3 linked regions of the Arabidopsis thaliana genome follow. Each later gene encodes a partner of the first gene's protein in a complex. Each region holds a gene or a part of one and is shown in the gene's direction. Other genes may lie near its edges.

Evidence for each region.
Region 2: TAF8 (region 1) and TAF11b share a complex: the UniProt entries of both Arabidopsis thaliana proteins name them as parts of the TFIID complex.
Region 3: TAF8 (region 1) and TAF15 share a complex: the UniProt entries of both Arabidopsis thaliana proteins name them as parts of the TFIID complex.

Annotation. Positions count from the first base shown.
Region 1 is NC_003075.7:16,426,269-16,430,027, reverse strand, and holds TAF8 (TBP-associated factor 8), read left to right. Parts: upstream 1-2,017; 5' UTR 2,018-2,195; coding exon 2,196-3,257; 3' UTR 3,258-3,389; downstream 3,390-3,759. Other genes in the region: HDR (4-hydroxy-3-methylbut-2-enyl diphosphate reductase), read left to right, coding at 1-2, 104-235, 322-396, 466-571, 666-760, 849-1,034, 1,108-1,194, 1,282-1,347. UniProt on the Arabidopsis thaliana protein: TAFs are components of the transcription factor IID (TFIID) complex that is essential for mediating regulation of RNA polymerase transcription.
Region 2 is NC_003070.9:6,936,269-6,939,200, reverse strand, and holds TAF11b (TBP-associated factor 11B), read left to right. Parts: upstream 1-1,534; coding exon 1,535-1,626; intron 1,627-1,780; coding exon 1,781-2,303; downstream 2,304-2,932. Other genes in the region: TUB5 (tubulin beta-5 chain), read left to right, coding at 137-406, 486-1,168; AT1G19990 (nucleolin), read right to left, coding at 2,536-2,839. UniProt on the Arabidopsis thaliana protein: TAFs are components of the transcription factor IID (TFIID) complex that is essential for mediating regulation of RNA polymerase transcription.
Region 3 is NC_003070.9:18,630,284-18,634,042, reverse strand, and holds the start of TAF15 (TBP-associated factor 15), read left to right. Parts: upstream 1-2,003; 5' UTR 2,004-2,164; intron 2,165-2,342; 5' UTR 2,343-2,380; coding exon 2,381-2,485; exon of another isoform or gene 2,486-2,501; intron 2,502-2,595; coding exon 2,596-2,924; intron 2,925-3,040; coding exon 3,041-3,238; intron 3,239-3,759. UniProt on the Arabidopsis thaliana protein: TAFs are components of the transcription factor IID (TFIID) complex that is essential for mediating regulation of RNA polymerase transcription.

The DNA of each region.
Region 1 (3,759 bases):
AGGTACATTCCTCCTGTGGCCATAAATCCGTAATATTGTTTCTCGCATTCATCTCTAGCATAGGTTATTGATATCTTCCTTTTTGACATTTGTGACTCTAAAGGTCTGGAACACGGTTGAGAAGCACAAGAAGGGGGAATACACATCAGTAATCCATGGTAAATATAATCATGAAGAGACGATTGCAACTGCGTCTTTTGCAGGAAAGTACATCATTGTAAAGAACATGAAAGAGGTGTGACTTTTATATTGTCAAACTTTGGATATCCATAGAATTTTGCAAGATGTGTTACTGATGGGGTACCTTATTACTGAGCACAGGCAAATTACGTTTGTGATTACATTCTCGGTGGCCAATACGATGGATCTAGCTCCACAAAAGAGGAGTTCATGGAGGTATGTAAGCTTATTTTGCTAATTCTTTGTATCATTCTGGTTTTTCTAATCTCTATGTTGGCGTTGTAGAAATTCAAATACGCAATTTCGAAGGGTTTCGATCCCGACAATGACCTTGTCAAAGTTGGTATTGCAAACCAAACAACGATGCTAAAGGGAGAAACAGAGGAGATAGGTTAGTTACTCTACCGTTTTTTTACATGACAATCGTCTTTTATCCTTGGAAACAAAAACACCTTAGTTTGAGTCTCATGCCAAAAACCCCACAGGAAGATTACTCGAGACAACAATGATGCGCAAGTATGGAGTGGAAAATGTAAGCGGACATTTCATCAGCTTCAACACAATATGCGACGCTACTCAAGTAAAATTCCCATACCTCAAAAACCATGCATCTAGACAAGTTTTACACTTGAGGAAGTGTTTATTCATCAATACTATAATCTCTTCAGGAGCGACAAGACGCAATCTATGAGCTAGTGGAAGAGAAGATTGACCTCATGCTAGTGGTTGGCGGATGGAATTCAAGTAACACCTCTCACCTTCAGGAAATCTCAGAGGCACGGGGAATCCCATCTTACTGGATCGATAGTGAGAAACGGATAGGACCTGGGAATAAAATAGCCTATAAGCTCCACGTAAGCGCATTTCAAAACTAACTTACTCCTTACCAAACTGCATTCACTGATTTTTTCTATTTTACATTGATAGTATGGAGAACTGGTCGAGAAGGAAAACTTTCTCCCAAAGGGACCAATAACAATCGGTGTGACATCAGGTGCATCAACCCCGGATAAGGTATATATATATTTGCAGCTATATTTTTGTTTGGTTCTCTTGTTTCCCACACGAACATGAGTGAAAATATTTGTGAAAAAATTACAGGTCGTGGAAGATGCTTTGGTGAAGGTGTTCGACATTAAACGTGAAGAGTTATTGCAGCTGGCTTGATTCGGCATTGTGATCGTATTCAAATACTATTTGTCATGTCAAGAGTGTACTAAAATATATGTAGTTGTATGATTTGTCTTTATAACTTTTGTAAGAGGTTTTGTAATTCAAAGTCAACATCCTCGTTATCTTACTCCACTTAATGTTCTTACCATAATCGCAATTAGACTGATATAGAACTTGAGACTGTGTAAGGCTGTCATTATCGAGAAGTTGTCACTAAAACAACTAGGTTATGAATCTCCGCGGTATCGGGAAAGAACTCATTTTCAACAAATCGAGCCACAAGAGTTTCTAAAATAGTTTAATGTAACGAAACTCGGGAAGTTGTCAAGAGTTCTCCCGCGATATTTCGTTATGTTTGGAAAATTTTCAAAACAATGTAATGAAATATCGCGGAGAACTCATTTTCAACAGAATCACTCATCCGAATTTCTAAAATAGCTTCATAAATTTTTACGAAATACCGCAGAAAAACTTATTTTCAACAAAATCAGCCACGCCAATTTCTTATAAAATTTTCCAATAATTTTTTGGGTTATGATTACTACAATTTACATTTGTTTAATTTTAAACCAAAATTTTGGTCTAAAAAAAAAAAAAAAAGTTGGTAGTTAATTTTGGGGTTGGAGCTCTATATAAGCGAGAGATGGCAGGATTCTCAAGACGCATTTCTCTCTGTCTCTCTTTCTCTCTTCATATTTCCCGGTGCTTCGTCGACGTTAGGTCTTTTCCGTTGACGGAGGCAAATTTCTTCGATTCTCTTTAAACCGGCGGTCCATGTGGTCTTACCGACGAGAAAACCCTAATTTCAGGGATTAGATAGCTTTTTGAAACAAATTAGAGCAATGAACACAGAGAGAGCTCAAGAAGGTGATAGGAACGATGCCGCATCTTCCTCTGGCTGCTCCGAGTCCTACGAGTTTAGCCACGCAGCCGCTAAAGCTGCAGTAGCTCAGGTCTGCGAGAGCGTTGGGTACGAGAATTTCAAGGATCCAGCTCTCGAATCTCTATCTGGATTCGCACTCCAGTACATTCTTCAGCTAGGTAAAACCGCTACTTCCTTCGCTAATCTAACTGGTAGGAGTCAGTGTAACGTGTTCGATATCATTCTCGCTTTGGATGATTTGACTGATAACAATGGCGAACAAGGAATTTCGTCTGAGAGTTGTTCATTAGGTCGTTCGATTAAACTTAGGGAGATTATCGATTTCGTTAATTCGAGTGAAGAAGTCCCTTTCTCGCAGCCATTGCCAAGTTTTCCTGTAGCTATAAGTGATAGGAGTAGGAAGATGATCCCAAGCTTTGTTGAAATTGGTGAAACTCCACCTGGGAAACATATTCCTTTGTGGCTACCAGCTTTTCCTGATCCTCATACTTATAAGGAAACCCCTATGTGGATCGAAAGAGTATCAGATCCAAGGGGAGATAAGATTGAACAAGCGAGGCAGAGACGAAAGGCTGAGAGAGCTTTGTTGAGTTTGCAGAGGAAACTTGTTTGTAAAATCTCCTCAAGGAATCCTGTGTGGGGAGATATGGATGGTGTGAAAGAAGAAATGAGAGATGATGAGAGTGAACTGCGTTCTGTATCGTCCGGGGAGAAAGTCGAATCATTGAATAGAGATGGCTTATCAGTGATAGAGGCATTTGCTCCTGCTATGGAGGCTGCAAGAGATGGGTTTTCTAGTGAAGCTCACACTGAATGGAAGAAGAATAAACCTGTTGCTCTTTCTAAGCTCAGAACCGAGAAGAAATTTCTCGGACAACCTTTGGATCTAAGTCTACAGATGAAGGGTGAAGATAGACCCATATCCTTTGTGCGTGAGGAGGATAGAGATGACAAAAGAAGAAGAGCGGAGTTCATTTTGAGACAGTGTATGGAGAACCCAGTAGACCTCAATCAGTTGTAAAATAAGTGATTCATTACAGTCTGTGTAGCGTACTATTAATCTTGTGATTTGTAACCTTTCTTTATACAGGCCTATGTTATGATTATGATTTTGTGACTGAAAGAATGAGAATTTCTAACCTATCTTTTAGGCAATTGATATGATGTCTTTCTCATGAGATTCTTGTTACATAACTTAATGTTAGTTTCAGTTTCATGTCTCATGAGTGGGAGCCAGGGACCAGTGTGGAAGGAGTTTAGTCTTGTATCATTGCTATATTTCCAAACCAAGTCAAGTGGTCTGAGGTAAGTATATTTTCTTTGGTCGACATGTGTTTTGCTTCGTGATGTTTATGGGGTGTGAAACATATCACTGTATCAGAATTAAGATTATGTTATGTCAATTAGTTGAGAGCTCGAGGTTAGAAAGGAAAGCTAGGTTATTGAGTTGGGGCCTTGTGGATTAATGTAGGATTTTGCTTTGGACACTGGGCGATAGATAAGAGACTTACTTCTCTCGTTAA
Region 2 (2,932 bases), on another chromosome or scaffold:
GATTCACATAAACATTATAGTTGATTTAGTTAGCAAGGACTAGTAACAAGATGTTTGCTTGACTATATATGAACACTTTTTCGTCTCATCGATGGAACCAATACTATGTGAATCATGGGGCTGCATTATTTTACAGGGTTTCAGGTGTGCCATTCGTTGGGAGGAGGCACAGGTTCAGGAATGGGAACACTATTGATATCGAAGATCCGAGAGGAGTATCCAGACAGAATGATGCTCACTTTCTCTGTTTTCCCATCTCCTAAAGTCTCTGACACAGTCGTTGAGCCTTACAATGCAACTCTCTCTGTCCATCAGCTTGTAGAGAACGCTGATGAATGCATGGTCCTCGACAATGAAGCTCTCTACGATATCTGCTTCCGTACCCTCAAACTCAGCACTCCTAGCTGTAAGTACACCCAATTCTTATCCTCCATTAACCCAAAATGTATTTAAAACTAATTCTGATACATTGCATGATGATGTAGTTGGAGACTTGAACCATTTGATCTCCGCAACAATGAGCGGTGTGACTTGCTCCTTAAGGTTCCCCGGACAACTAAACTCTGACCTCAGGAAACTCGCGGTGAACCTAATCCCATTCCCTCGTCTCCATTTCTTCATGGTGGGTTTTGCGCCCCTCACTTCCCGTGGCTCGCAACAATACATCTCACTCACCGTTCCTGAGCTGACTCAACAAATGTGGGACTCCAAAAACATGATGTGTGCAGCTGATCCACGTCACGGACGTTACCTCACAGCCTCTGCTATTTTCAGAGGACAGATGAGCACAAAAGAAGTCGACGAGCAAATCCTAAACATACAGAACAAGAACTCGTCTTACTTCGTTGAGTGGATCCCAAACAACGTGAAATCCAGCGTTTGTGATATCCCACCAAAGGGGCTCAAAATGGCGGCGACGTTTGTGGGTAACTCGACGTCGATTCAAGAAATGTTCAGGAGAGTGAGTGAGCAGTTCACGGCTATGTTTAGGCGTAAAGCGTTTCTGCATTGGTACACAGGAGAAGGAATGGACGAAATGGAGTTTACGGAAGCTGAGAGCAATATGAATGATTTGGTCGCTGAATACCAACAGTACCAAGATGCTACTGCTGATGAGGAAGGTGAGTATGATGTTGAAGAAGAAGAGGAGGGAGATTATGAGACTTGATCCACCAAATCAAACATTTTACTTAAAAGACAAGGAAACGACTCTTGGAAATCTCTCTATTTAAATTTGATTGAAAAACATTGAAAAAATGGGAAATTTGTTTAAATGTGTTTTTTGTTTGAGTAATTTGTTCAAAGAAAGTTTGAAGTTTCCATTTATTTTGGGTGTCTTGTATTTTCCATTTGAGATAATACGTCCTTGCTTCTCAAGCTACTGTGTAGTATATAAATTTTACACTTCTCTCAATTGTCCCACATCGAGTAAATTAGTATAAAGGAAGCTAAACTTTTGCCTCTATAAATAAAGATACTTCATTTCCCACCGACTTTTACATTTGGGCTTCTTAAAAAATAGGCTTGACAATAAATGGCCTTTAACGCAAGGTCTTGTTGTTTTGCTAGTAGCAACGAGCGGGTTACTTGTAACTGCAATTGTCTGAAAGATCAGCCAGTGCCAAGGTACTTGTAATTACAAGTACAAAAAATTGATTTCTTTGAGTTCATGTTCATGTCGGATTTTTTCTAGTGTGGTCGGATGTGCAACAAAAAAATTGGCTGAATTTTGGAGTTTTAAGATCCAAAGATATGTGATTTTCGTTAAGGTTTTATTAAGAATGAAGCATTCGAAGGATCCGTTTGAAGCAGCAATGGAGGAGCAAGAGGAATCACCTGTTGAAACCGAGCAGACTCTTGAAGGAGATGAGAGAGCTGTGAAGAAATGTAAAACGTCCGTTGTTGCTGAAGCGAAGAACAAAGATGAAGTTGAGTTCACCAAAAACATAACTGGTGCTGATCCTGTGACTAGAGCCAACAAGATGCAGAAGATTTTATCACAATTTACAGAGGAACAAATGAGCAGATATGAATCTTTCAGAAGATCTGGTTTTAAGAAATCAGACATGGAGAAGTTGGTACAGAGAATCACAGGGGGTCCGAAGATGGACGACACTATGAACATCGTTGTGCGTGGTATCGCAAAGATGTTTGTTGGCGACCTTGTGGAAACAGCTCGAGTTGTTATGAGGGAAAGGAAGGAATCAGGACCTATTAGACCTTGCCATATCAGAGAGTCATATCGAAGACTAAAGCTCCAAGGAAAAGTGCCTCAAAGATCAGTTCAACGGCTTTTTCGCTAGTCAGAATGACGAGGTTACAAAGTAGTGACATGGACGAAGAGTAACTATCATGCTCTAAACCAAACGTGATTAAGTCTTTGCTTAATAACTAAAGAAGTACACGATAAGATCAGAAACAATTGGCCATCTCTCTCATTACTCTTAAAGAATTCACCTTTCAAGCATTCTACAAATTGACTCCCTAAGAAACGATTACAAATAACACAATGAGATTTCAGTCTTTTAATTCAACCTACTTGGCTCTAGCCTTTTTAGAGACTCTGCTAGCCAAAAAATCATCATCTGAGTCGTCATCATCAGAGTTCTTCTTCCTCTTCTTCGTGGTTGGTTTCGAATCATTTCCCTTCTTTTTGTTTGACAAAGCTTCAGATGGCGACTTTTGTACTTCCTTCTTCTTCACGGTCACTGATTTGGAGTTGCTTCTTGGAGTAGAAGCAGCAGATTTTACTGGAGAACTTAATTTTCCACCCTTTTGCAGTTTCTTCTCAAGAACTTTCTTTGCTTTTTCGGCTGGAAGCAATCCAGACTCCATCAACCTGTGATCAAAACCACAAAAGGGTTTTCAAATAAACAAAGCAATCTAAAAGCAAATATTACACATAACCATCACAGATCATATAATCAATGCT
Region 3 (3,759 bases), on another chromosome or scaffold:
TGAGATTTACTAATATAAAGTTTTTTTTGGGTTTTATTTAAATGGGTTAGGAGTGCAATTGAATCATTTTTTCAACTATTTCAACTTAAATAGTAAAAAATTGATTGAATGTTTATTCAACTCTTTTAATTTCTTCAATTACGTCAACCATTTGCACTGGTTTGTCAATTACAGCAATAAGATTTTTCTCTGAAAACTCATTACAAGAAAACTTGTTCTATTCTTTAGTGAGTTTTTAATCTACTAATTATATATATGAAAGTTAGCCAACTCTCTCCATATGATTGACACATCATCACTTTAACATTTGCCATGTATCCACTGAATAATTAATGTAAGCTCTTCAACTTTTAATTTATAGATTAATGATGTATTTATTATTTAATTTTACATATTTAATTGTACTAATACTAAATTTATTTTGTTATTAAATGTTTTTCAATAAAATAATTTGATTGATTTTCTCATACTCAAAAGATTTTTTTCTGTAATCTTAACTCAAATTATGAGTGTATAGTAGTCATGGATTAATTAATAGTTTGAATAGTTTGCATATTGTTATATATCTATATAATAAATCGCCGAGGGTGAAGAGTATGTAAGAAGTTTAATCATCAAATTCTTAGGTTTCGAGAATCCCAATATTACCTTCTATTTAATTAGTTTAAGACGAACATTGTTTAGGAATTGTGTGTATAATGCATTGTTGAGAATGTTGTTAGAAAAAATATATTTTAATATTAAGAATAATTACTTATTATATAAGTAAATGATTAGATAATTAAAAATTATATTTAAATTAAACGATACAAAAAATTTAAAAATACCGCAGCGTAGCGCGGGTGATTACCTAGTCATAGTAAAATTAGTAGTGACAGATTTTAAAAAATGACAAGCTTATGCTAGTAACTTTACAAAATAGATAGCATTATATAAATATTTTACTGTAGTATGAGTCAATACTTTTTTAATTATTAATTTAGTCAATATATGTTAGATGCAAATGTATTTTTTTTTATTGACCAATACTTTGGTAGTATAATATTAGTAGTATTAGATATTATTGGCTATAAATAGATTCAACATTGAAACACAAATCATATATATGAAAGAAGACTAACTCTCTCCCACAACTTGACACATAAGCACATGAGAGCTTGCCACCTAGACTTCATAAAATAAGTAATACATAATTAGTAATTAATTCAACATAACAACTAAAATAGGAGAATATAATTAATGAGAACTTGAACCATCACTCTTTCTACATTTTTAATTCAATATATCCTCTTTAATTTTGAGATCCACTTAAGTGGCTAAAGTGATGATAAAATCCAAACATGTTACACATATTCCTGGCCTAAAAATTAGACGATTATTATGAAAGAAACTAAATGAATATGCAGATTAAATATATCTAAGCTTTTCGATATTTATGCTAAGAAAACAGGTAATTTGAAAGATATTTGAGGAGCTATCCTTATAACTAATACGTAAGATATAAGATTATGACAAGAACTTAACTAAACTTTCTAAGAATATCGAGTTGAATATGCTTAGATTGAATATGCAAAGACATGATTAATAAAGACATGTTATATTTTTAGTGTAAGAAATAATTTTTCTAAAATTTCACTGTCTCACAATCTATACATATAACTAAAAAAGCAAGGATATATAAATTCAAAAAAAAACTAAGAATCTAAAACAACAATAAAAAACAACTCAAGCACATTCGTTTTTCAGATGAACTAATATAGTTGGACTTTTCAAAAACAATTACAAAACATATTTATGTTTCAAAACCTATGCATTCAACTTTACTTTATATAAACAGACATTATATAAAACAATTAGTAAATAGTAATACGTAAACCCGCACGTAGTGCGGGTACTCATCTAATTTGTAAATTAATAATTCCTCAATTTGCACCCAAAAAAAGAATTCCTTAACCACGAAAAAAATAAAAAAACAAAATTACAATTTAAGGGGGAAAGTTATATGAAATTGCAAATATAACCACCAAACAAACAATCGACTATCGAGGTTACCCTTAAGAAAATCTTTATTCGCAAGATCTCTCTCTCTCTCTCTCACTCGACGCACTTTAGAAAGAAACCCTAGTCCGACGACCTCTCCTTCGCCGCTGAATCCTCATCGCTGGTCAGATTTCTATCTATCTCGCTCTTCTATGTTTCCCTATCTCGTTGGTCAGATTTCGAATCTTCTTTTTGTTCTCATGGTTTTTGAGCTCAAAACTTTGGGGTTTCAATGTCTCGATGTTATTTCTTAGCGAGGTTTCAATGTTGGCTAAGTGAAGTTTTGGTATTGTCATTTACAGATTCTTGGCGGCTTTCTTTTTGATGAAATTGGATTACGATGGCTGGATATCCTACTAATGGATCAGTCTACGTTTCAAATCTCCCCTTAGGAACTGACGAGAATATGTTGGCTGACTATTTTGGGACCATTGGGTTGCTTAAGGTATGGTATTGGCCAGGTACTAATTGTTGCTTTTGTTTTGACGTCATTGCAATCTTTTATAGGTCACTAGATTTTCGAGTTTCTTACATTTTTTTCTACATTGCTTTTAGAGAGACAAACGAACTGGTACTCCTAAGGTATGGCTGTACCGGGATAAAGAAACTGATGAGCCCAAGGGAGATGCTACTGTTACCTATGAGGATCCGCATGCTGCTTTGGCTGCTGTTGAATGGTTCAATAACAAAGATTTTCATGGAAACACCATTGGAGTTTTTATGGCCGAGTCGAAGAATAAAAATGCTGGTGATGCAGTTGAGTTTGTTGAATTCGATGGAGGTGCTGAGGAAACAAATGGAGGTGCTGGAAGGGGGAGGGGTCAGGCTGATTCTTCGGCAAAGCCATGGCAGCAAGATGGTGACTGGATGTGCCCTAATACAAGGTCTGTGATGTGATATCGGTGAGGAGCTTCATCTAGCTCTTGTTTCCGTTAATTTGCTAGTTTTTATATATTTTATAGTTTCTAGCAGTAGTGTTCTCATACTCTTTCATTGGCAGTTGTACAAATGTGAATTTTGCATTCCGTGGGGTTTGTAACCGCTGTGGAACTGCTAGACCAGCTGGTGCATCTGGTGGCAGCATGGGTGCTGGTCGTGGAAGGGGTCGAGGTGGAGGCGCTGATGGTGGGGCCCCGGGGAAGCAGCCCAGTGGTGCTCCTACTGGTCTCTTTGGTCCAAATGATTGGGCTTGTCCAATGTAAGCATTCCGATTAGGTTTGAAATAGTTAGTTCAGTTTCAGAGGATAATGAGCGTTTGGTACTTGATTAAAACACATCGCAAGAAACAATTTATATTCAGTAGCAAAAGAGAACATTCAGATGGCATATAGCGTTGCTGGATATAAAATTAATTTGTCTTATGTATGGAAGGAATATAGCTTGTATATCAATGCTTTTGATGATGTCAGTTGACTCTTTACTTAGAAAGAAGTGATGGCCCGCTCTGCTGTGCTGTGTCTCTTAAACTGGTCCAAATTATGTGTGGAGGCACATATTTTTTCCTTCTTTTTTGAATGTTGATTCTAATTTCGTAATTTTCCTTCAGATGGCTGTTAATCTGAAAAATGTAATTTGAAACGTGGGTAGGTTGTAGTCTTGATCCTTCTAAGAAGTTATATTTGTGAAGATAGGCTGCCTTCAATTTTCTGTGTCTGATACAAAAAATGGACTATGTTTTAGTTTAATTGCAAGTTATGCTATGTGTCATCGAGTAGCTTA